2 linked regions of the Anolis sagrei genome follow. The protein of the gene in region 1 interacts with the protein of each later gene in a biochemical or structural test. Links are inferred from orthologs where the notes say so. Each region holds a gene or a part of one and is shown in the gene's direction. Other genes may lie near its edges.

Evidence for each region.
Region 2: the proteins of DNM2 (region 1) and SNX9 form a complex in vitro, tested with the Homo sapiens proteins (2 studies listed by BioGRID and IntAct, with this or other methods). The link is inferred for Anolis sagrei from reciprocal best matches to the Homo sapiens genes DNM2 and SNX9.

What each region holds. Positions count from the first base shown.
Region 1 is NC_090022.1:169,258,401-169,270,803, reverse strand, and holds the start of DNM2 (dynamin-2), read left to right. Parts: upstream 1-7,338; 5' UTR 7,339-7,456; coding exon 7,457-7,617; intron 7,618-12,403. UniProt on the Homo sapiens protein: Catalyzes the hydrolysis of GTP and utilizes this energy to mediate vesicle scission at plasma membrane during endocytosis and filament remodeling at many actin structures during organization of the actin cytoskeleton.
Region 2 is NC_090021.1:69,210,499-69,222,526, reverse strand, and holds the start of SNX9 (sorting nexin-9), read left to right. Parts: upstream 1-6,325; 5' UTR 6,326-6,595; coding exon 6,596-6,607; intron 6,608-12,028. UniProt on the Homo sapiens protein: Involved in endocytosis and intracellular vesicle trafficking, both during interphase and at the end of mitosis. Required for efficient progress through mitosis and cytokinesis. Required for normal formation of the cleavage furrow at the end of mitosis.

The sequences.
Region 1 (12,403 bases):
TGCAACGCTCTCTACGTGGGGTTGCCTTTGAAGACTGCCCGGAAGCTGCAGCAGGTCCAACGCGCGGCAGCCAGATTACTAACGGGTGCTGGGTACAGGGAGCACACCACTCCGCTGTTACGACAGCTCCACTGGCTGCCAATTAGCTTCCGAGCACAATTCAAAGTGCTGGTGTTGACCTATAAAGCCCTAAACGACTCCGGCCCTGTTTACCTCTCCGAACGTATTCTCCCCTACGAACCATCAAGATTACTAAGATCATCTGGAGAGGCCCTGCTCTCGGTCCCACCAGCCTCACAAGCACGCCTGGTGGGGACGAGGGACAGGGCCTTCTCGGTGGTGGCCCCACGACTCTGGAACTCTCTCCCTCTGGAGGCCAGAACCGCCTCATCCATCCTAACATTTAGGAAACGGGTGAAGACGTGGCTGTGGAGTCAGGCCTTCGAGGAATGAGACAACACCATAGGACTCTGGATGGAAGTGGATATAGATCCATCTTAATGGGACGACTGGCCACTGTAATTTTATATTTAGTGTATTTTAAAGTTGTTTTGTAATTTGTGATATATGATATTTTAATGAATGTATATGTTTTTATGGCTGTAAACCGGGCTGAGTCCCTCAATGAGGTTGAGAAGTTCGGTATACAAAACTGTGAAATAAATAAATAAATTTAGGGAGAGAGTTCCAGAGTCGAGGGGCCACCACCGAAAAGGCCCTCTCTCTCGTCCCCACCAATCGTGCCTGCGAGGCTGGTGGGATTGAGAGCAGGGCCTCTCCGGATGATCGAAGGGATCGTGTGGGTTCGTTTACAGATATACGGTCGCGCAGGTATGTGGGTCCCAAACCGTTCAGGGTTTTGTGTAATATATGTTCATACAGACTAGGAGAGGATTATTATATTCCAGGACAATGCAATTAATATATGCAAGGCATGGAAAAAACCATTTATACTTGTATATAAGTCAACCTCATGTATACGTATAGGGCAAGATTTGGGGTCAAAATTCTGGATTTTGATATGATCTGTGGAAAGGCGAGGGTAACTCTGTGGATAACGAAAAGCACCAGCATCGCTGCAGGAGGCCAGCCGCCCCTGGCTGGTGCCATCCTTCCCCAAGTATTCAAGAAAGGTCAGAAGCAACATCACACATCAAGCAACAACCTTTGTAGTACAGCCAGACTTTGACTTTTATAGAGATGTTACTAATACTAATAGGCACCTTTGCTGTCTGTACTACATGCAAGGTGGCATTGCTTATTTCACATATCCTCAGAGGTTTCTCATTATGTTCAAGTCACTGCAGCCAACACACTAACATGTTATGACATACAGTTTGGAAAACTCTGCTCTAGAATTTGTTGGAATCCCCCGAGTATCCTAGGGTTTGAGAATGTTTGGAGAAAGTGATCAGAACTTTGAATGCGATTTTCCTGCTTCTTGGCAGGTGGTTGGACTGGATGGCCCACAGGTCTCTTCCAACTCAATGATTCTATTATCTGTTTTGTCAGTATCCAGAAACATTACTCTCTGCCATGCCATCGTACTGTAGGTGATCAGGAGGATTAAACTTTTTTTTTTAAACATCTTGATATTGAGCTAGAATTTAGAGGCTCCTGCCCAGGAGAGGGGAGCCCATAGAATTTCCTGAGGTTTTTTTGTCTTGCTGGGGTCGCGAAAGGTGGCTTTCCATAATTTTTACACATAAACACAGACGTGGGATTCATAAGGCATGCACAAGGGAAAAATGGGGGAAAAGGAAATTCATACAAACCCATCCACCCACCAAAGTCCATAGAGAGTCCAATATTATGAAATCATATAGCCCCCAAATTATGATGGGGAATCCTTGGGGTTTTGGGGGAAAAGTTCCAGAAAGTTTTCAAAAGTCCTTAAAAGTTGGAGAAAGTTGATAAAAGTTGTAAAATTCAGGGCAGGCAAATTGCAAAGGTGTCCCCAGAGTCCATAGAGTTCTTATGAACCAGCTGCCAGTGTTGGAGATCAAGATCCACAGAGAGAACTACAGATCCCTCCTTGCCAAGGACCAGGGTGGCCCGCTGACACCTTGGGGATCCTATGGGGTGACCGCGACAGTTTCCCAAGATCAGCAGGCTTTCTGGGCATCTACAAAATGGTGGCAGTGAGGCAGTGTCTTCATAAAGCCAGCTGGGCTCCAGGTCAAGGTTTGGGGGACAAAAAGGGTTATTCCCATGGCGGAGGGGTTAGCGGAGCGATACCGAGATAGCCATTAGTCTTCGAATTCTCCCAAGAAGAATGACACAATTTTTGAAGCGATCCATTGACTCACGGATATGGGGACCCAATGGGTTTCCATATCCGCGGTTTAAGGGAACGCAGTTTCAGCCTCCTCGGGATGCAAAAATCGCATCCCGGGCGGGCCGGCAGCCATCTGCAGCCCGGGAGAAGAAAGGTTTATGTAGAGCAGGGGTCCTCAAATTAAGGCCCAGGGGCTGGATGCGGCCCTCCAAGGTCATTTACCTGGCCCTCGCTCAGGGTCAACCTAAGTCTGAAATGACTTGAAAGCACACAACAACAACAACAACAACAATGCTATCTCATCAGCCAAAAGCAGGCCCACACTTCCCATTGAAATACTAATAGGTTTATATTTGTTAAAATTGTTCTTCATTTTAATTATTGTATTTTTAAGTGTTTTTGCACTACAAATAAGATATGCTCAGCATGCATAGGAACTCATTCATTTATTTCAAATTATAATCCGGCCCTCCAACAGTTTGAGGGACTGTGATCTGGTCCTCTGTTTAAAATGTTTGTGGACCCCTGATATAGAGCGAAGTTAGAGGCAATGAAAGGACACAAAGTAACACTTTGTTGTTGTTCAGTCGTTTAGTCATCTCCGACTCTTCATGACCTCATGGACCAGCCCACGCCAGAGCTCCCTGTCGGCCGTCACCACCCCCAGCTCCTTCAAGGTCAGTCCAGTCACTTCAAGGATGCCATCCATCCATCTTGCCCTTGGTCGGCCCGTCTTCCTTTTACCTTCCACTTTCCCCAGCATAATTGTCTTCTCCAGGCTTTGCTGTCTCCTCATGATGTGGCCAAAGTACTTCAACTTTGTCTCTAGTATCCTTCCCTCCAATGAGCAGTCGGGCTTTATTTCCTGGAGGATGGACTGGTTGGATCTTCTTGCAGTCCAAGGCACTCTCAGCACTTTCCTCCAACACCACAGCTCAAAAGCATCTATCTTCCTTCGCTCAGCCTTCCCTAAGGTCCAGCTCTCAAAGTTACCGTATATTCCGGCATATAAGACGACTCGGCGTATAAGACGACCTCCAACTTTTCCAGTTAAAATGTAGAGTTAAGACGACTGCCATGCATAAGACTACACCCACGTATAAGACGACCCCTGACTTTTGAGAAGATTTTCTTGGGTTAAAAAGTAGTCTTATACGCCAGAATATACTGTACAATTAATTGATACTTTTTATTGGGGGGATTAGTTACAATGTTAGGAAGGGGAAGAAAGCGAAACTAACAAGAAGGTTTCTGAATTGCAGCTGCTGCTGTGGCCATGTTCATGCAGGTTGGCCCAAGCGGGGCAATGGAGAACTGAGGAACTCCCTGCTGCAGGTCAGATCAGCTTGAAGGCAGGGAGTTTGACCTCAATCTTAGCCTCCTGAATATGAAATGAATATGCAATACCACCATGACGTTTAGAGGTTCAGCTGATGAAAGTAGACATACAGGTGCATTAACTGCCACTGCTCAAACACATATGTGAAGCCCAGCTATTTCATGAGGCTCCCCCCACTTCTGTGCTTGGGCAGCTAGGAGTTCTGTTTTCATAGTGGCAGATTATATTTTCTTGGTTTTAAAAATGTAATCTTCTGGTTTGAAAGGTGAGATGGAAATTGAGTAAATAAATAAACAGCTGGAAGGAAACACAAAGAGATATGTTGGTTTAGCATGACCTCTCCAGAGCTATCAGTATTTCACTGAAGGAAAGCAGCTTTGGTGCTAAACCAGTGGTGTATGCAGTGGACCGAAAAGGGTCAATATATTCATGCTGAAATGCAGACATGACAAAAGCACACCAGAGAATAAATATTCAACTTATTCTGGGTGTGGTTACACTCTCCCTGGAAACTTGTGTTTGCAGCTCGCCCGTACTCCTGAACCCAACCTTGAGCCTGGATATATAGGTTTCAAAGGTGATCTGGAGTACATTTGTATAATAAAACTAGTGCACCTGCTGTGCCTGCTCCTGAAAATGACTGATCATGTCACTGTGGTTACACGTATTTACTCGAGTCTAATGTGCCATCGAATTTTACCTGCACCTCAATGTTCAAAACCTTAAAACTAAAAAAAGTATTTGCTGGTGTCTGTAATATCCAGTAACAAAAGGTGCACTCTTTGTAATTTGGTCAAAAAAATAGTGGCTGCCTGCTTTGAATTCCTCCTTTAAGAACAAAAGTGTTAAGACACCAAAGCTTTCAGCAATGGAAAAGAAAACCTTGGGGTGCATCTGTGCTGTAGAATGAATCCTTGGTTCAATGTTTTGGAGTCATGGGGGCTGTACTTACTTACTTAGGCGATCCCTCGTTTCCTGAGGAGGATTGTCTTCCAATATTCTTGTGGGTCCGTATGTGGCTGTAGAGCCCTATTCTTGTTCTGCATCTTCTCCCGCAGTGAGGGCACTGGTTTCCAGGTGGAAGGCGGTCTCGGTCAGGGTTGGCTTGATGCTCCTTCCTCTTGGCACGCTTTTCCCTTTCGCCCTCCATTCATGCCTCTTCAAATTCTGCAGCACTGCTGGTCACAGCTGACCTCCAGCTGGAGCGGTCAAGGGCCAGGGCTTCCCAGTTCTCAGTGTTTACGCCGGAGTTTTTAAGGTTGGCTTTTAGCCCATATTTAAATCTCTTTTCCTGCCCACCAACATTCCGTTTTCCATTCTTGAATTCGGAGTAGAGCAACTGCTTTGGGAGATGGTGGTCGGGCATCCGGACAATGTGGCCGGTCCAGCAGAGTTGGTGGCGGAGGACCATCGCTTCAATGCTGGTGGTCTTTGCTTCTTCCAGCACGCTGACGTTTGTCCGCCTGTCTTCCCAACGGCTGCTCTGGCCACAGCGAAGACAGAAGGGAGCAGAAGACACTTCCATCTTGTCTTTACTAATAATATAATAATAGTATATTGTATATACATATAATATTTATAATATTATAATGTAATACAATATAATACTAGTAATAATAATTCAATATTATAATTATAATTATATATTTACATTACATGTAATATTACTAATAATATTACAATATAATGGTATAGTGCAATATAGTAATATATACTGATATTGTACTATGCTAATAATATAATATATTGTATGAAAATATATATTGTAAGCCACTCTGAGTCCCCTTCAGGGTGAGAAGGGCGGCATATAAAAGCCGTAAATAAATAAATAAATACATTTGCAGGATTTTCCGGAGGCAGCACTGATGGAATCGTTCCAGGAGTTGCATGTGACATCTGTAGACAGATGTCCCGGTCTTCAAACACTCTCTGCTTCATTGGGGAAAATGCTGCGCTCGCAGAGCTCAGGTGGTGTTGTATTTCGGTGTCGATGTTGGCTTTGGTGGAGAGGTGGCTGCCAAGGTAGCGGAAATGATCAACATTTTCGAATGTTACACCATTAAGCTGTATCACTGGCTTTGGAGAGGGGTTGGCTGGTGTCTGCTGGAACAGCACAGTTTTACAAAGTCTTGAGCCTTCTCTGCCAAAAGATGCTGGTGACTCACCAACTACAAATCCCAGCATTGCATAGCATTTAACTCAGGCAATTAAATTAGAGATCATGTCCCTCAAATAGGAGTTCCAGGTGCTTCGGAAGTAGCTTCCCATTTTGCTTTGGCTCAGCACTAAAATTACTGTATAACACAAAGCTAATGTGCACCTTAATTTTGGGAAGGTAATATAGCCCAAAAAGGTGAGCATTAGATTTGAGTAAATATGATATATCCTGTTTGAATTACAAGTTCTCTCTTCTCCTGTCTCCTGTGCTAAGCTAATAACATAATATAATATATTGTATATACATATAATATTTATAATATACTAGCCGCCCCTTGCCACGCGTTGCTGTGGCCCACATGGCTGTTCTGTGTGGGAGTTTTGGCCCAATTCTATCATTGGTGGGGTTCAGAATGCTCTGCGATTGTATGTGAACTACAAATCCCAGGAACTACATCTCCCAAATGTCAAGATTCTATTTTCCCCAAACTCCACCAGTGTTCACATTTGGGCATATTGAGTTTTCGTGCCCAGTTTGGTCCAGATCCATCATTGTTTGAGTCCACAGTGATCTCTGGATGTAGATGAACCACAACTCCAAAACCAAAGGACACTGCCCACCAAACCCTTCCAGTATTTTCTGTTTGTCGTGGGAGAACTGTGTGCCAAGTTTGGTTCAGTTCCATCGTTGGCGGGGTTCAGAATGCTCTTTGATTGTAAGTGAACTACAAATCCCAGGAACTACAATGTCAAGATTCTATTTTCCCCAAACTCCACCAGTGTTCACATTTGGGCATATTGAGTACTCGTGTAGAGTTTGGTCCAGATCCATCATTGTTTGAGTCCACAGTGATCTCTGGATGTAGGTGAACTACAACTCCAAAACCAAAGGACACTGCCCACCAAACCCTTCCAGTATTTTCTGTTTGTCGTGGGAGAACTGTGTGCCAAGTTTGGTTCAGTTCCATCGTTGGCGCGGTACAGAATGCTCTTTGATTGTAGGTGAACTATAAATCCCAGCAACTACAACTCCTAAATGACAACATCATTTTTTGAGTGAAGAACATACATTGGACTGTTAGGTGTATTGTGTCCAAATTTGGTGTCTTTCGTCCAGTGGTTTTTGAGTTCAGCATTACATTCGCCTTTCCAAAAAGTTAACTTTACTGAAGCGATTGGCTGCTCGCTCTGAGTGACAGAAACATTGGCCAATAGAAAGCGAAAAAGGCGCAGCGGGCGGGGCTCGCCGCTTTGATAGATAACTCGTTGTTTGAAGAGGAGAGCAAGGGTTACGAATGGGGAGCAGCGCCCGAGAGAAAGGGGCGGGGTTTAATGCAGTTTGACCACTTTCCGGAGGCGGCTATTGGCTGGGTGAGCCGCAGAGGGAGCGCCGAATGACAGGCGAGTTCGTCCAATTAGAACGCCAACCGGAAATGAGGCGGGCCGATGCAACAGCGCCGTATCAGCGCGGGAGTCCGCCAGATCCTCGTTCCCTATTGGTTACCGCTACGGAGTGATGGCTGCGCTGACCAATGGGAAGGGAGTCGGGGCGGTAGGAGGCGCGAGCGGGGCGTCGCTGAGGCCGGATGAGGAGACTCCGAGGGGGAAGTTTGGTGCTTGTTGCCGGGGGCTGAGCGAGGAAGCGGAGGAGCGCCCTCCCCGCTTTCTTTTAGGCCGTCGCCATGGGCAACCGAGGGATGGAGGAGCTGATCCCGCTTGTTAACAAGCTGCAGGATGCCTTCAGCTCCATCGGGCAGAGCTGCCACCTCGACCTGCCGCAGATCGCCGTCGTCGGCGGACAGAGCGCGGGCAAGAGCTCCGTCCTGGAGAACTTCGTAGGCCGGTGAGTGGGAAAGGGCTCTGAGCAGAATGCGGCGCAGTTTACGGAAATGCCTGCCGAGAATGCCGCGCACGCGCGCCTGCTGCGGAGCTGGGCACACGCACCGTCTGTGAATAGCCCCCTCCGCCGTAGTGAGGGCGTCTCAGTGCGCCAGTTGCGTCAGCTGCGTAAGGGGCGCGCGAGGCAGGCGGGCAGGGAGGGGCGCGCGCGGGAGAAGCAAGCTTTGTGGGGATGCTCTCCCGGCCTCTGGCTCGTCCTCGCGCCCTGTGGGTCTGTGAGTGTGTGGAATGGGCGGGCGAGGATTACAGCAACCTTTGTGCCTCCCTCAGCAGCAGGTGCAGTTTGGGCCTCCTCCTCATTCGACGCCACTCTGCTTAAACTCCCCCACACACAATAATGACACTTGTCATTGCATATTCACAGCACAACAACAACATTCTTTTCTTGATATCTTGCTTTTAGGCCTGTTTCTGAGGTTATTTTGTTTATTTATTTTATTTCCAGCATTTCTACGCTGTCTTTCTCAACCCCCGAAGGGGGACTCGGGACGGCTTACATTTGGCACAATTTGATGTCATTATTTATTTTATTTTTTTTATTTCGAGGTTTTATATACCGACCCTTTCACCTTCAAAGAGGGATTTGGACCGGTTCACAACATGTGTTAACATACAAAGAATATACAATAACAACACAATGGCACTTCATAACACGATTAAAATATCAGCACCATACACATTATTTATTTATTTATTTATTATTTAAACTTATATGCCGCCACTCCCCTGGGGCTCGGAGCAGCTTACAAGAATAGCTAAAATCTAACAAAGTTTAAAACCAATTTAAAACAATTTAAAAACAACAGTATCAAACATTAAAAGCCTGTCGGAACAGGTATGTCTTACATGCCCTGCGGAAAGCTGATAAGTCCCGCAAGGCACGGGCTTCAGGTGGCAGAGTATTCCAGAGTGATGGTGCCACTGCTGTAAAGGCTCTGCGTCTGGTTGCTGTTAGACGCAAGGTCTTGACACTGGGGACTTCCAATAGATCTTGGTCCTCAGAACGGAGGGATCTCTGGGGTTGGTAGGGGGTGAGACGATCCCTCAGATACATTGGCCCCAGACCATGCAAGGCCTTAAAGGTGAGTACCATCACTTTGAAAGTGATCCGGTGCTCAATTGGTAACCAATGCAGCTGTAGTAAGATTGGTGTTATGTGGCATCTCATCGGAATTCCCGCAAGAAGCCGAGCAGCTGCATTTTGTACCAACTTGAGCTTCCGAATCACCGACAGAGGGAGGCCAATGTAGAGGGCGTTACAGTAGTCCAGTCTTGAGATCACCGATTAAAACATTATCATCACAGTTAAAAGAGCCAAATCGTCCGACACCATCACAATACCATTCATCATCCTCCTTTCATGTGAGCAAAGAATTAAATCAGTTGTCAAATGCCGCGTTCCATAACCAGATCTTTGTTAGTTTCCTGAACGTCATGAGGGAGGGGGCAGTTCTGATCTCTAATGGCAGGGAGTTCCAAAGTCGAGGGGCCACCATCGAGAAGACCCTGTTCCTCGTCCCCACCAGCCGTGCTTGTGCAGGCAGTGGGACCGAGAGCAGGGCCCCTCCAGACGATCTTAGTGGTCTTGATGGTTCGTAGGGGAGAATACGTTCGGAGAGGTAAACAGGGCCGGAGTTGTTTAGGGCTTTATAGGTTAACACCAGCACTTTGAATTGTGCTCGGAAGCTAATCGGCAGCCAGTGGAGCTGGTGTAACAGTGGAGTGGTGTGCTCCCTGTACCCAGCACCCGTTAGTAATCTGGCTGCCGTGCGTTGTACTTGCTGCAGCTTCCGGGCAGTCTTCAGAGGCAACCCCACGTAGAGAGCGTTGCAGTAATCTAAGCGGGATGTAACCAAAGTGTGTACTACCGTGGCCAAGTCAGCCTTCCCAAGGTACGTTATATTATTAAATATAACAAAGCAATATAACCACATTTAAAACAATAAATAGAACATTAATTTAAACAATAGAATCATAGAATCAAAGAGTTGGAAGAGACCTCATGGGCCATCCAGTCCAACCCCCTGCCAAGAAGCAGGAATATTGCATTCAAAGCACCCCTGACAGATGGCCATCCAGCCTCTGTTTAAAAGCTTCCTAAGAAGGAGCCTCCACCACACTCCGGGGCAGAGAGTTCCACTGCTGAATGGCTCTCACAGTCAGGAAGTTCTTCCTCGTATTCAGATGGAATCTCCTTTCTTGTAGTTGAAAGCCATTGTTCTAGTCTCCAAGGAAGCAGAAAACAAGCTTGCTCCCTCCTCCCTGTGGCTTCCCCTCACATATTTATACATGGCTATCATATCTCCTCTCAGCCTTCTCTTCTTCAGGCTAAACATGCCCAGCTCCTTAAGCCGCTCCTCATAGGGTTTGTTCTCCAGACCCTTGATCATTTTAGTCGCTCTCCTCTGGACACATTCCAGCTTGTCAATATCTCTCTTCAATTGTGGTGCCCAGAATTGGACACAATATTCCAGGTGTGGTCTAACCAAAGCAGAATAGAGGGGTAGCATGACTTCCCTGGATCTAGACACTATGCTCCTATTGATGCAGGCCAAAATCCCATTGGCTTTTTTTGCCGCCACATCACATTGTTGGCTCATGTTTAACTTGTTGTCCACGAGGACTCCAAGATCTTTTTCACACATACTGCTCTTGAGCCAGGCGTCCCCCATTTTGTATCTTTGCATTTAGTTTTTCCTGCCAAAGTGGAGTATCTTGCATTTGTCACTGTTGAACTTCATTTTGTTAGTTTCAGCCCATCTCTCTAATCTGTCAAGATCGTTTTGAATCCTGCTCCTGTCCTCTGGAGTATTGGCTATCCCTCCCTATTTGGTGTCATCTGCAAACTTAGAACATTAATTTAAACAATAAAAACAATATTAACCACCGTATCACCATTCCAGTCAAATTCCATATCCAAAGCGCTATTTGGATATGGATGACACCTGTTCGGCCCCACAACCGTTGTTGTGTGGAGTCCCACAGGGTTCAATTCTGTCCCCGATGTTGTTTAACATCTACATGAAGCCGCTGGGGGAGATCATTTGGAGTTTCGGAATGAGGTGTTATCTCTATGCAAGATACAGAATGGGGGACAATGCCTGGCTCGAGAGCAGTACTTGTGAAAAAGATCTTGGAGTCCTCATGGACAAGAAGTTAAACATGAGCCAACAAAGCCAATGGGATTTTGGCCTGCATCAATAGGAGCATAGTGTCTAGGTCCAGGGAAGTAATGCTACCCCTCTATTCTGCTTTGGTTAGACCACATCTGGAATATTGTGTCCAATTCTGGGCACCACAATTCAAGAGAGATATTGACAAGCTGGAATGTGTCCAGAGGAGAGCAACTTAAATGATAAAGGGTCTGGAGAACAAGCCCTATGAGGAGCAGCTTAAGGAGCTGGGCATGTTTAGCCTGAAGAAGAGAAGGCTGAGAGGGGATATGATAGGTAAAGGTAGTCCCCTGACATTAAGTCCAGTCATGTCTGACTCTGGGGTGTGGTGCTCATCTCCATTTCTAAGCCGAAGAGCCAGCGTTGTCCGTAGACACCTCCAAGGTCATGTGGCCGGCATGACTGCATGGAGCGCTGTTACCTTCCCACCAGAGCGGTACCTATTGATCTACTCACATTTGCATGTTTTCGAACTGCTAGGTTGGCAGAAGCTAGGGCTGACAGCGGCAGCTCACGCCGCTCCCCGGAATCGATCCTGCGACCTTTCGATCAACAAGCTCAGCAGCTCAGTGCTTTAACGCACTGCGCCACCGGGGGCTCCCTGGGGATATGATAGCCATGTATAAATATGTGAGAGGAAGCCACAGGGAGGAGGGAGCAAGCTTGTTTTCTGCTTTCCTGGAGACTAGGATGCGGAACAATGGCTTCAAACTACAAGAGAGGAGACTCCATCTGAACATGAGGAAGAACTTCCTGACTGTGAGAGCCGTTCAGCAGTGGAACTCTCTGCCCCGGAGTGTGGTGGGGGCTCCTTCTTTGGAAGCTTTTAAACAGAGGCTGGATGGCCATCTGTCAGGGGTGATTTGAATGCAATATTCCTGCTTCTTGGCAGGGGGTTGGACTGGATGGCCCATGAGGTCTCTTCCAACTCTTTGATTCTATGATTCTATGATCCTTCTCACCTGTCACCAAGGAGGCTGTCCAAACCTTGAATTTATTTATTTATTTATTTGGTAGTGTCTTCTCACCTCCATTCGAGGGACTCGGGCCAGTTTCCAACATCAGTATTACAGACCGTCATTAAAACATCATATTTCTAAATCACACTAAAACATTAAAACATTAACAATTAAAATGGCAAAAATACAATCATATGATTACAGTGGTCAGTCATCATCAAAGTCATTATTCGTCGTAATCCATCCATATCACAGGATCATGGCTCATTCGTTGAATGCCAATCCCCAAAGCCAGGTTTTCACCTGTTTCCTGAACGTTAAGATCGAAGGGGCAGTTCTGATCTCCAGTGGGAGGGAGTTCCAGAGTCGAGGGGCCACCACCGAGAAGGCCCTGTCTCTCGTCCCCACCAGCCGCGCCTGTGAGGCTGGTGGGATTGAGATCAGGGCCCCTCCAGATGATCTTAGTAATCTTGATGGCTCATGGGGAGGATACGTTTGGACTTTAAATTGGGCCGGAGTCGTTTAGGGCTTTATAGGTTGAACTGGTGCTTGGCAGCTGTGTTGGGCTGAATGAGAGCTAACAAATTGAAACTGAATC
Region 2 (12,028 bases), on another chromosome or scaffold:
CCTGTGGGAGGGAGTTCCAAAGCCGGGGAGCCACCATCGAGAAGGCCCTGTCTCTCATCCCCACCAACCGCGATTGTGACAGTGGTGGGATCGAGAGCAGGGCCCCCCCGGAAGATCTTAAAGACCTTGATGGTTTATAGGGGAGAATCCGTTCGGACAGGTAAACAGGGCCAGAGTCGTTTAGGGCTTTGTAGGTCAAAACCAGCACTTTGAATTGTGCTCGGAAGCTAATCGGCAGCCAGTGGAGCTGGCGTAACAGAGGGATTGTATGCTCCCTGTACCCAGCCCCCGTTAGAAATCTGGCTGCCGAGCGTTGGACTAGCTGCAGCTTCCGGGCAGTCTTCAGAGGCAGCCCCACGTAGAGAGCAGTAATCTAGACGGAATGTATAGCCAATTCTTCAAGAGTAGCACATTTACTTAGAACAGTGTTTCTCAACCTTCCTAATGCCACAACCCCTTAATACAGTTCCTCATGGCGTGGTGACCCCCAACCATAAAATTATTTTCGTTTCTACTTCATATCTGTAATTTTGCTATTGTTATGAATCGTAATGTAAATATCTGATATACAGTATGCATGTTCATTCACTGGTTGAAATTTGGCACAAATACCTGATATGCTCAAATTTGAATACTGGTGGGGATGTTTGGGAGTTGCAGTTGCTGGGATTTATAGCTAACCTACAATCAAAGAGCATTCTGAACTCCACCAACAATGGAATTGAACCAAACTTGGGACACAGACCGCCCATGACCAGCAGTAAAATACTGGAAGGATTTGGTGGGCAATAACCTTGAGTTTTGGAGTTGTAGTTCACCTACATCCAGAGAGTACTGTGGACTCAGACAATGATGGATCAGGACCAAACTTGGCATGGATCCTCAATATGACCAAGTGTGAACACTGGTGGAGTTTGGGGAAAATAGAACTTGACGTTTGGGAGTTGTAGTTGTTGGGATTTATAGTTAATCTACAATCAAAGAGCATTCTGAACCTCACCAATGATAGAATTGGGCCAAACTTCCCACACAGAACCCCCATGACCAACAGAAAATACTGTGTTTTCTGATACCCCCCAGGAGTCCCGACCCCCAGGTTGAGAAATGCTGACTTAGAAGAACATTATGTGAACTGCATAGATCCCGTGGATCATTCATCTGATGGATGGGGGGAGCCCCAAAAGTATTTGAGTCAGAGCTGATTTGATTTTGGGTAAATGCCCCAAGATGTATTGCATACACTATAGGACAAAGACACATTTTCTTGAAGCACTGATATGAATGATGTAGAAAACACTGAGACCAACGACTATGGGAAAGAAAGCATCCATCTCCACTACTATTACCCATATATCATCATATACGTAAGGAATCAATTCAGTCTTAGTAAAACATTGAAATGACAAGGCCTTCAGAAAGGTTGACAAGAATTGACAGGGAAATGTACTTGGGTTTCCTGAGCCAAGCACTTTCTAATGTTTTTGTTTCGTTCTGGATGCTTTTCTATCACGTGGTAACATGGAAAATGAGGATTTAATTATGTTGCCAGTGTTTTTCACGCTATGTTAGATTTGCTACTCAGATTTGCAGTGACCAACCATCCCTCTTTCTGTTTCAGCAGCAAGACTACAAACTTGATTTCAAAAAGCCACTTAAGGAATAAGATACAAACAACAGTTAATTCAGAATGTTTTATAGAAGAGAGAAAGATACAATGGAACCTAGTTACATATCTATCTACCTACCTACCTAATTACCTATCTATGTAAAATTGTTCGTAAGTTTTGCTATGGTATTGATCACAAATTCATATGATCAGATATATGGCTTTTTTGGTTTTAGTGTGTGTACCAACCTGAGCCAGTATTTTTAAACCAGGTTCTGGTTTGTGGATCTCAGGGTTTAATACAAAATGAAGAGGAATCATAAACCTGAAATCTGATAAGCTGTGTAACAGATCTAGAATAGGGAAAGACTTAATTTTACTAGCAGACCACTTTTGTATAGAGGTTCCTGAAAATGCAAACTTATGATAGGAAGCCACACACTGACTAATCCTGGCTTGACTATTACAGCATAAGTAGAAACATTCAGGCTGTGGGCAGAGTTTCCTGAGGATTTGTCTGAGATGACACTGAATTCCAGCCATTCTGCAACCCATACTTAGAAATGCTTGCTATTGTTGCTATATATATATTTTACCACTGAGAAATGCTCTCATCAGCTCTGACTCAACTTTCCTGGACTATGGAGCTCCCTGTACAAAAGGAAAGGGATGGCTATAAGGTTAGCAATACAGAGAAAAGATTTCCTTAAGTACAAGGACAGGAGGCCACTATAAACAAAAATATAATACAATAATATAAGTCATATGGCTTATATTATTGTATTATAGTATTGTTTATAGTGGCCTTTTGCCCTTATAAGGTTAGCAATGGGCTCACTTATCCAAAATATCCCTCTCCAGATGTGTTTGTGGGCCTCTCTAGATCAACCAGTGCTATTTAATAGGAAGCTTCCAGCTGAAGAAGAGTCCAAATATAGTGTTCTGTAGTATCCATGGTTTCAGTATCCACGAGGATCTTAGAACATATCCTCCAGGGATAAGGTGGTTGCATTGCATTGGTATTAGGGGCCAATAAAAGCTGCTTTCTTGACTGAAGAGTGACTATGCCAGGATATGGAAAATCTTAAAACTCTTTCGATAACTTCATCGTCTAGAATTCTGTAAATCTGCTGTAGTCATTATGTCTTGTTTTCTGTAAACCTTCAGTGACTACCTTCAAGTCTTTCCTGTTTTCTCCCAGTAGCATGCTGTTATCTGCATACCTTACATCAGAGCTTTCCAAACATTTCATGTGGGTGGCATACTTTGTAGACACGTATCATTTTTGGGGCACAATAATTTGGTTTAACTGGCAAACCAGAGGTTAAACTAACTCCTTATAAGAGATACAGTTGCATACATAAATTGTAATAATGGAATGTATGGGGACGCAACATCTCTTATGAAAATCTTTCATTTTTATACTTTAAAATATATTATTTGTAAGACAATAACATGCATTTCCAAGATTTCCCATTATGTTTCCATGACATTCCTACACACTGCAGCTAACACACTCATGTGTCAAGACACAGTTTGGAAAGATCTGTGTTATAACAACAATAACAACAACAACAACAACAACTGTATTTATACCCCGCCTCATCTCCCTAGAGGGTCTCTGGTCAGCTTACAACCAAAGAAATGGATACAATAAATGATATACACAGAAAGTGATCACATAAAAGCAATTTTAATTATTTATTTATTTACTTCACTTGTATACCACTTTCCTCCCTTAAAAGGGGATTCAAAGCAGTTTCCAACATAATTATGGCAAAAATCAATGCCTCACATACAGAAACCTAACATAACAATAATAACATACAATTATCAATTAAATCATAAACACATCATTTAAGATTAAAACATAGAATTAAAACATATCAATATAAACATTAAAATCACACAATCCAACAATAGCACAGCATTATAAACACACTCTCACACAAAACAATTTTAGGTGTGTCACACAAACATAACGTGAAACCTCTGAGTTATGTGAAATACAAAATAAATACTGTATTTTAAAAACAAAATATAATGAAATGTATAGGGACACAAGACATCTCATGAAAACCATTTATATATAATAAAAATATATGATTTATTTTACCTGTTAGTGCAATTAAACCCCACTTCGTCCCACGGATCCCTTCTCCAGATACATTACATTGCTCTCTCACCCATTGTTTTTAAACTTTTAATCTCTGCAACCAGCCCTGCCCACTGTGATCAACTTTCTGTGTTCAATGTATGTGATGTATTTTCGAATGATGCATGCAGATCCAAGTTAGGTGGCCTTTTGCAGTTGACAGATTGTGATTTTGTCAATGTTTATTGTTTCCAAATGCCGGCTGAGATTTTTTGGCACGGCACCCAGTGTGCCAATGACCACTGGGACCACCTGCACTGGTTTATGCCAGAGCCTTTGTAGTTCAATTTTGAAGTCTTCATAGCAGCTGAGTTTATCCTGTTGTTTTTCCTCAATGCGGCTGTCATCTGGTATGGCGACATCAATAATCCAAACTTTTTTCTTTTCCACAATCATCATGTCTGGTGTATTGTGCTCCAAAACTTTGTCAGTCTGGATTCGAAAATCCCACAGTATTTTTGCGTGTTCATTTTCCACTACCTTTTCAGGTTTATGATCCCACCAATTGTTTACTACTAGCAGGTGGTACTTGTGACATAACTTCCAGTGAATCATTTGGGCCACAGAATTGTGCCTTTGTTTGTAGTCTGTCTGTGCGATTTTCTTGCAACAGCTGAAGATATGATCCATGGTTTCATAGTTTCCTTGCACAGTCTGCATTTTGGTTTCCTTGCACAGTCTGCATATCGTGTCAGCTTTTCCAGTTGTTTCTCTTCAATCCTGCTGTTGCCTGGGATTGCAATATCGATGATCCATGCTTTGTTTTTCAACACAATTGTGAGGTCAGGAGTATTGTGCTCCAAAACGCTGTCAGTCTGAATTATTACTATTACTATTATTATTATTAGAAACACAACGAGCCCACAGCAGACAAGATCACTCTGCTAGCCAGGCATCGGGGGGGGGGGGGGGGGCTTGAGGGGCTTCACCCCCCCCCCCCAAATTCTCAGGGTGGTCCATGAGAAGGCCTTACCGGTACAGTATTTAAATTGTTATGTTTGTTCATATCATGATCTGATCACCATGCTCAATATATCCCATATGCATGGGGGTATTGTGGTAATGATACAAAAGGTTTGCTAGGGTTTGCTAGGGTAGATCCTCACCCCCCCTCCCCGGGAATCAAACTCAGCTCTCCTTGAATCAAAATCCTGGCTACGGGCCTGCTCCTAGCTGTTGAATTGGATCACACGTGGGACATTTCCCAAGTGTCTAGGACTGTGTGATGTATCAGCAAATAATGCGTGCCCATCCCAGTAAGTTGGACTTCTGCAGCTGGCAGATGGTAATTTTGTCAGTGCTGATTGTGTTTAAGTGCAGGGCAAGGTCTTTAGACACTACACCCAGTGTGCTTATCACCACTGGGACCACCTTTACTGGCTTGTGCCAGAGTCTTTGCAGTTCAAATTTAAATCCTCATATCGTGTCAGTTTTTCTAATTGTTTCTCTTCAATCCTGCTGTTGCCTGGGATTGCAATATCAATAATCCATGTTTTGTTTTTCAACATGATCGTGAGGTCAGGAGTATTGTGCTCCGACACTCTGTTAGTTTGAATTATTATTATTATTATTATTATTATTATTATTATTATTAACACAACAAGATGAGTCCACAGCAGACACTCTGCTGGCTGTTGTAGTGGATCAGAGGCCGGACACTTCCTAAGTGTCTAGGACTGTGTGATGTATCAGCGAATAATGCATGCAAATCCCAGTAAGGTGGCCTTCTGCAGCTGGCAGATGGTACTTTTGTCAGTGCTGATTGTATTTAAGTGCAGGCCAAGGTCTTTAGGCACTGCATCCAGTGTGCCGATCACCACTGGGACCACCTTGACTGGCTTGTGCCAGAGTCTTTGCAGTTCGATCTTTAAATCCTCATATCATGTCAGCTTTTCCAGTTGTTTCTCTTCAATCCTGCTGTTGCCTGGGATTGCAATATCAGTGATCCATACTTTGTTTTTTAACATGATGTGAGGTCAGGAGTGTTGTGCTCCAGAACTCTGTCTGAGTTTGGAAGTCTAAGAGGAGTTTGGCATATTCATTTTCTGTAACTTTTTCCGGCTTGTGATCCCACCAGTTCTTTGTTGCAGGCACAAGTTCCAATGAACCATCTGAGCAACGGTGTTATGCCTCTGCTTGTAGTCTGTCTGCGCAATAGCTGAGGATGTAATCTATTCTTTCATCTGCTTCCTTGCAGTCTACATTTGGGATCTGTTGTTGACTTTTCAATTCTGGCTTTGATGGCACTGGTTCGAATTATTAATTATATAATATATAATAATTAATTATATAATTAATTCAATATAATTATAATTAATTTATTGTTATCATTTATTATTATTATTATTATTAAGATGGCCTGGCTTCAGACCCTGGCAGCGTAGATCCAGCCGAAGAAGAGAGGCCTGAGAAACAACCACCCCGGCCCCCCACCCCAGCGGGAAGAGGCTCTCCTTCCGAAAGCAAGAGTGTGCCTTCTGAGGGCGTCACGTGGGGAGGGGCGTGGCTTGGGCCAGCCCTCCTTTTCCCGCCCCTTTCCCTCCCTCCGCTCAAACCCCGCCCCTGGGCCTGGGAAGAGGAGGAGGAGGAGGAGAAAAGGGAGGAAGGAGAAGGAGGAAGAGAGAGAGAGAGAGAGGGAGGAAGAGGCGCCTTTCTTTTCCCCTCAGTTGGGTTGAGGAGGAGGAGGGAGAGAGGGAAGGAGGAGGCAAGGGGGCGTCTGCAGAGGGAGGGAGCCTCCCTTTCCTCCTCCCCCTCCTCCTACTCGCCTTCCTCTCCGCCGAGGCCCAGGAGGAGGGAGCCCGGAGCTGCATCCCCTCCGCCGGGGGCCACTCGCCATGGCCACCAAGGTGAGCCTTCCTTTCTCCCCTCAGGCCTCTCTGCCTGCTCGCTCGCCATTCCCGTCCTGCTTCCCTCTGGGCGCGCTTTGGGCGGGTTGCCTCCTCACATGAAGGGCGTGTGGAGGCTCTTGTTGTTGTTGTTTTTCTTTGAGGGGATCCCCTTTGATCCCTGGCTCCAGAGGCCTTCCTTCCCTGTCAACTTTCCTCGCTGGGCTCACCCAGAGACTGAGAAATTGTGTTGTTATTGTTATTGTTGGAAGTTTGGCCATTAACGGCCAAAGGAAAGCCCATTATTAGACTGCCTTGGGGAGAATTGGGCAGGGATGGGTTTGACGTGGCTCCCTGCTGTGGGCTCATGGGAGTTGTAGTGTTACAAGGCCTCTGGGATTCTGTGTCCAAAGGCCTCCCTGTGAATGTGGTTTGATACCACTTCAACTGCTCCATGGCTCCTTCCTGTGGAGTAGGCCTCCAGGTGTTTTGGACTTCAGCTCCCACAATTCCTTACAGCAGTGGTTCTCAACCTGTGGCTCCCCAGATGTTTTGGCCTTCAACTCCCAGAAATCCTAACAGCTGGTAAACTGGCTGAGATTTCTGGGAGTTGTAGGCCAAAACTCCTGGGGACCCACAGGTTGAGAACCACTTCCTTACAGCCTCAGGCCCCTTAAGTTCGGGGAGGGGGGGTGGAGGAAGGGGCATGAGGTTGATAGGAATTGTGGGAGTTGAAGTCCAGAACACCTCGGGGGGCTGAAGTCAGCCCTGGTAGGAACTGGCAAACCCACCTCTTAATTCTTTTTTTTTGAGAAACTGCAAGTCGCTTCTGGCATGAGAGGATTGGCTGTCTGCAAGGATGTTGCCCAGGGGATGCCCAGATGTTTTACCACCCTGTGGGAGGCTTCTCTCATATCCCTGCATGGGAAGCTGGAGCTGACAGACAGGAGCTCACCCGCTCCCTGGATTGGAACAGTCTACCTTGTGGTCAGCAATCCTGCTGGCACAAGGGTTCAACTCATTGTGCCATTGGAGAGAAGGGGGGGGGGGGCTCCTAAAAAACCATCTCTTAATATTCCTTGCTGAAGAAAACCCTGTGAAATTCATGAGGTCACCATAAGTTGACAGGTGTGTGCACACAATTATACAATCTTTTTTTTTTGTACCTGTTGTTGGATGTCACAGTGGCGATATCTGGTATATATTCAAACTCTGAAAGATTACAGTCCTGTACAGATAGTCCCCAAGTTACAAACAAGATAGGGTCTGTAGGTTTGTTCTTGAGTTGTATTTGTTCAAAACAGGTACATTTTTGAAGTATAACTCCAGCTTTAATAATAATAATACTATATATATAAATAGTAATATATGAAATAATATTTTATTTATAAAGTGTTGTTATTTTATATAGTATTAGTAGTAGATATATATATGTGTGTATATGTCTGTGTGTGTGTGTGTGTGTAAAGGTAAAGGCTTCCCTGACATTAAGTATAGTCATGTTCGACTCTGGGGGGTGGAGCTCATCTCCATTTCTAAGCCGAAGAGCCAGCGTTGTCTGTAGACACCTCCAAGGTCACATGGCCAGCATGACTGAATAAAGCGCCGTTACCTTCCCGCAGAAGTGGTATCTATTGATCTACTCACATTTGCATGTTTTGGAACTGCTAGGTTGGCAGAAGCAAGGCCTAACAGTTGGCACTCACCCTGCTCCCCAGATTCAAACTGCTAACCTTTCGGTCAGCAAGTTCAGCAGCTCAGCGGTTTAACCCGCTGCACCAGTAGGGGGCCCATATAATATATAAATTTGATTTGGGTAGTGTAGGGAAGGGTTAGCACCCCTGTTGTGTTTGTCTTGCTGTCTGTGTCCCCGTTCAGAAGATTTCACCTCACTTTCTCTTCCTGTCATAATTGGATTTTGGATCAATTGGCTTGTTGTGGAAACAAGGATTGCTGAGAAAGCTTCAGTGGAGACGCCTCTCAGGAGTGAATTTCCCTTCAGAGGGGCAGATTTCTCTCACTTCATGTTGTCTCACCCCTGTTCTTAATGAAGAGTTGTTTGTAAGTCAGATGTTTGTAACTTGCGGACTGCCTGTATAATGCAAATAGCACATATTTGAGGGAACATAATACTGCTGTCCAATATATGCTTATTTGGTAATAAGTCCTGTAGTGTCTGTTTGGTCTTACTTGCTGGTGTTTTTTTTTTCCTTTTGGAGTTTAGGCCTACATTGGTTTTTACATGTGCTTCAAAAATACTTTCAAGAGGAAAGGAAGAATGCTTAGAGGTCTCAAGGAAGGAGTTAATGAATGTTAAGGAAATGTTGTTCCAAAATCATTGTGGGTTCATAATGTATGGCTTACTTGTTTAGTTACCACAAAGGATTTTAAAATTCACCTTTTTTTCCCCTCTTTCTTTGATCTTTCTCATATGTTAGTTTTGGTTGCCAGTCCATGTTTACAATGAGTATTTCCAAATCACTCTATGGAAAAAGCTGTGTCATTTACCTGACCTATAAAAGGAGAATCATTGAGTAATCAGTAACTTCTGATCTTCTGTATACCTGTTTTGGAATTTATTTTAGAACATAAATATAGTTATGTTTTTATTATTTTTTGTTCTTACATAAGGCGTTGAATTTAATTGGTCACTCAATCTGTAATTATAGTGTGATACTATTAATAATAGTTTATTAATGACAGGATCATATATTTTGGCAAATGGTAGATTTGTGTGAAGCCCAAAGGAGTGGATTGACAACAAATCGGATAGATAGGACTATTAATAATATTTTCTGTATTGTCAAAGGCTTTCATGGCTGGAATCACTGAGTTATTGTAGGTTTTTCGAGCTATATGGCCATACTCTAGAACAGGGGTCCTCAAACTTTTTAAACAGAGGGCCAGGTCACAGTCCTTCAAACTGTTGGAGGGCCAGATTATAATTTTAAAAAAAAAACATGAATGAATTCCTATGCACACTGCACATATCTTATTTGTAGTGCAAAAAACACTTTAAAACAATACAATAATTAACATGAAGAACAATTTTAACAAATATGAACTTATTAGTATTTCAATGGGAAGCGTGGGCCTGCTTTTGGCTGATGATATAGGATTGTTGTAGTTGTGTGCTTTCAAGTCATTTCAGACATAGATTGACCCTGAGTGAGGGCCGAGTAAATGACCTTGGAGGGCCGTATTCGGCCCCCGGGCCTTAGTTTGAGAACCCCTGCTCTAGAAGGTCTGACCTCGCATCCTCTGAGGATGCCTGCCATAGATGCAGGTGAAACGTCAGGAGAGAATGCTTCTAGAACATGGTCATATAGCTCAAAAAAACAATATTTTCTATTTGCTGTGATAATCTATAATCTTAAAATTGGCAGAAAGTCTTTCCTTTTTATAGGTTAAAAAGTTGTTAAATCTTAGATATCTTTTGGTTTAGCTTGAACACATGGTAGAAGTAGAGCAGAATCTTTCTGATCATTATTAATGTTTGAACATTATGTTAAACCATAGTTTAACACAATGCAATGAATATCTGTGAACTTTTAATTCATAGTCTTCTTCCCATCTTGTTTTCTGTAACATTGGGGACAAGATCAGAAACCTCTACTGCTATTTGTGGTTGTTCAATGTTGCAAAGTTATTCTTAACTATGTTTAGTGGAATTGGGCCTGGTCTATAGATCATGTTTTATAGTAAACATGTCTTCACTAGCTGTGGCTTGTTGGGTTTGACTTGCACAACAAACCTTAAGTCCAAAAGCTTTTATTTCCTATTTATATTACCTATCAACTGTGTATGTGTTTTTGTTTTTGTGTGTGTGCTTCATAAGCTGAGGGCCTGTTGTGACTTACTCTTCTCACAGAACTAAACATGGCTAGAGAGCAGTGTTTCTCAAACTCTGTTCCTCCAGTTGTTTTGGACTTCAGCTCCTAGAAATCCCAGCCAGCTTACCAGTTAGGAATTGTGAGAGCTGAAGTCCAAAACTTCTTGGAGGATCAGAGTATGAGAAACACTGTTATAAAGATTTTATTCCTACATTTTCATTATGAGACCAGCTGAAGCAAAATCCCAGAGGAAATGCCTTGTGCTTGTACAAACGCAGGAATAGCTGTGTTGACTGTAAAACAAATTCCAAAGGCCATATGATGGTACAACTTTTATTAGGCTAACCAAAAACACACAAATATGCATGCCAGCTTTCAAAACCAAAGATTGTTATCAGGCAAAAAAAAAAAGTACTTTAAAAGAAGTACAGAGTAGAGGTGAAATGAAGATGTTGAAGTCCCATGATGTTGAAGTTCAAGTTTTGCATAGTTTGTGCTGTTTTTCAATAGTCAGTATGGGTAGAGTACATAGCAATTCAGTTTAGATGCATCAGACACCACCCACAATGGGTCATGTATCTAAATAATCATACCCATGTGATCTTCTGAGCAGTTTTGTCCAAATTGAGTAATCTCATTTGTTTCTTCAGAAGTAGTTCAAGTTTTGCATAGTTTGTGCTGTTTTTCAATAGTCAGCATTCGAACAGGAAAGGAAAAAATGACTTAACCCTGACTTTTACAAATAAGGCATAATTGCTGAGTGATATTTTTCTGTCATCTGCCCTGATGTATAGTTTTTCCCTTTAAATTATCTTTGTCAATATAATAACAAAAAATGAATTTCGAAAAAACTTTAGCTTGAACTCTCAGTCTAAAATGGCCAATAAACATTCTTTTTCCCCTTTACATTTTCATTATTAGATGACTTAGTGTTAAATTTTTGTGACATTTCCATATTGTGCCATTATAGTGTACTAAAAGTAATTACGAATAAAGTTATTGAAAACTGTAATTTCAGTTTTGTAGCTAAAATTTGTAAGCATGTTAGGGTTTTTTGTTTTTTTGTTTATTTTGCTACTTGGGTTTTTAACTATATACTTAAATGTCTCCAATATTTCATAAAAATATAATTGTTAAAAATAAAACAGCAAGTCAGTTGGTCAATCTTTATTATCATGATTAATGACCAGTGATGACAAAAATAATAACTAAGTGTTTTCAGTGGTAATTATACCTGCTTGCATGTGAAGTCAATGGGGCACTATGATATTTGAAAATAAGAGAAAATGTGCAACCAAAAGTACACAAAAATATTGGTGTTGTCTTTCAAAAGCAAGGATTCTTCATTAGGCAATGATTAAAAAAAAAGATGCAAGGGGAAATGAAGATATCATATAGGTTGGGACTCAGGAACAAGAAATAAGAAACCAATAAAAAAGAAGTTGGTATCCCAAGAGTGGGAGACCTTTGACTATGTAGGTATTTGGATAACATTACTGGTGATTCAAAATTGTGACAATGATAATGGTGAGAGGGAAGAAGAAACTCCTGATGAAAGTATCCATGTCATCAAATACACATATACATTTTGACATATAAAATCTCTGGA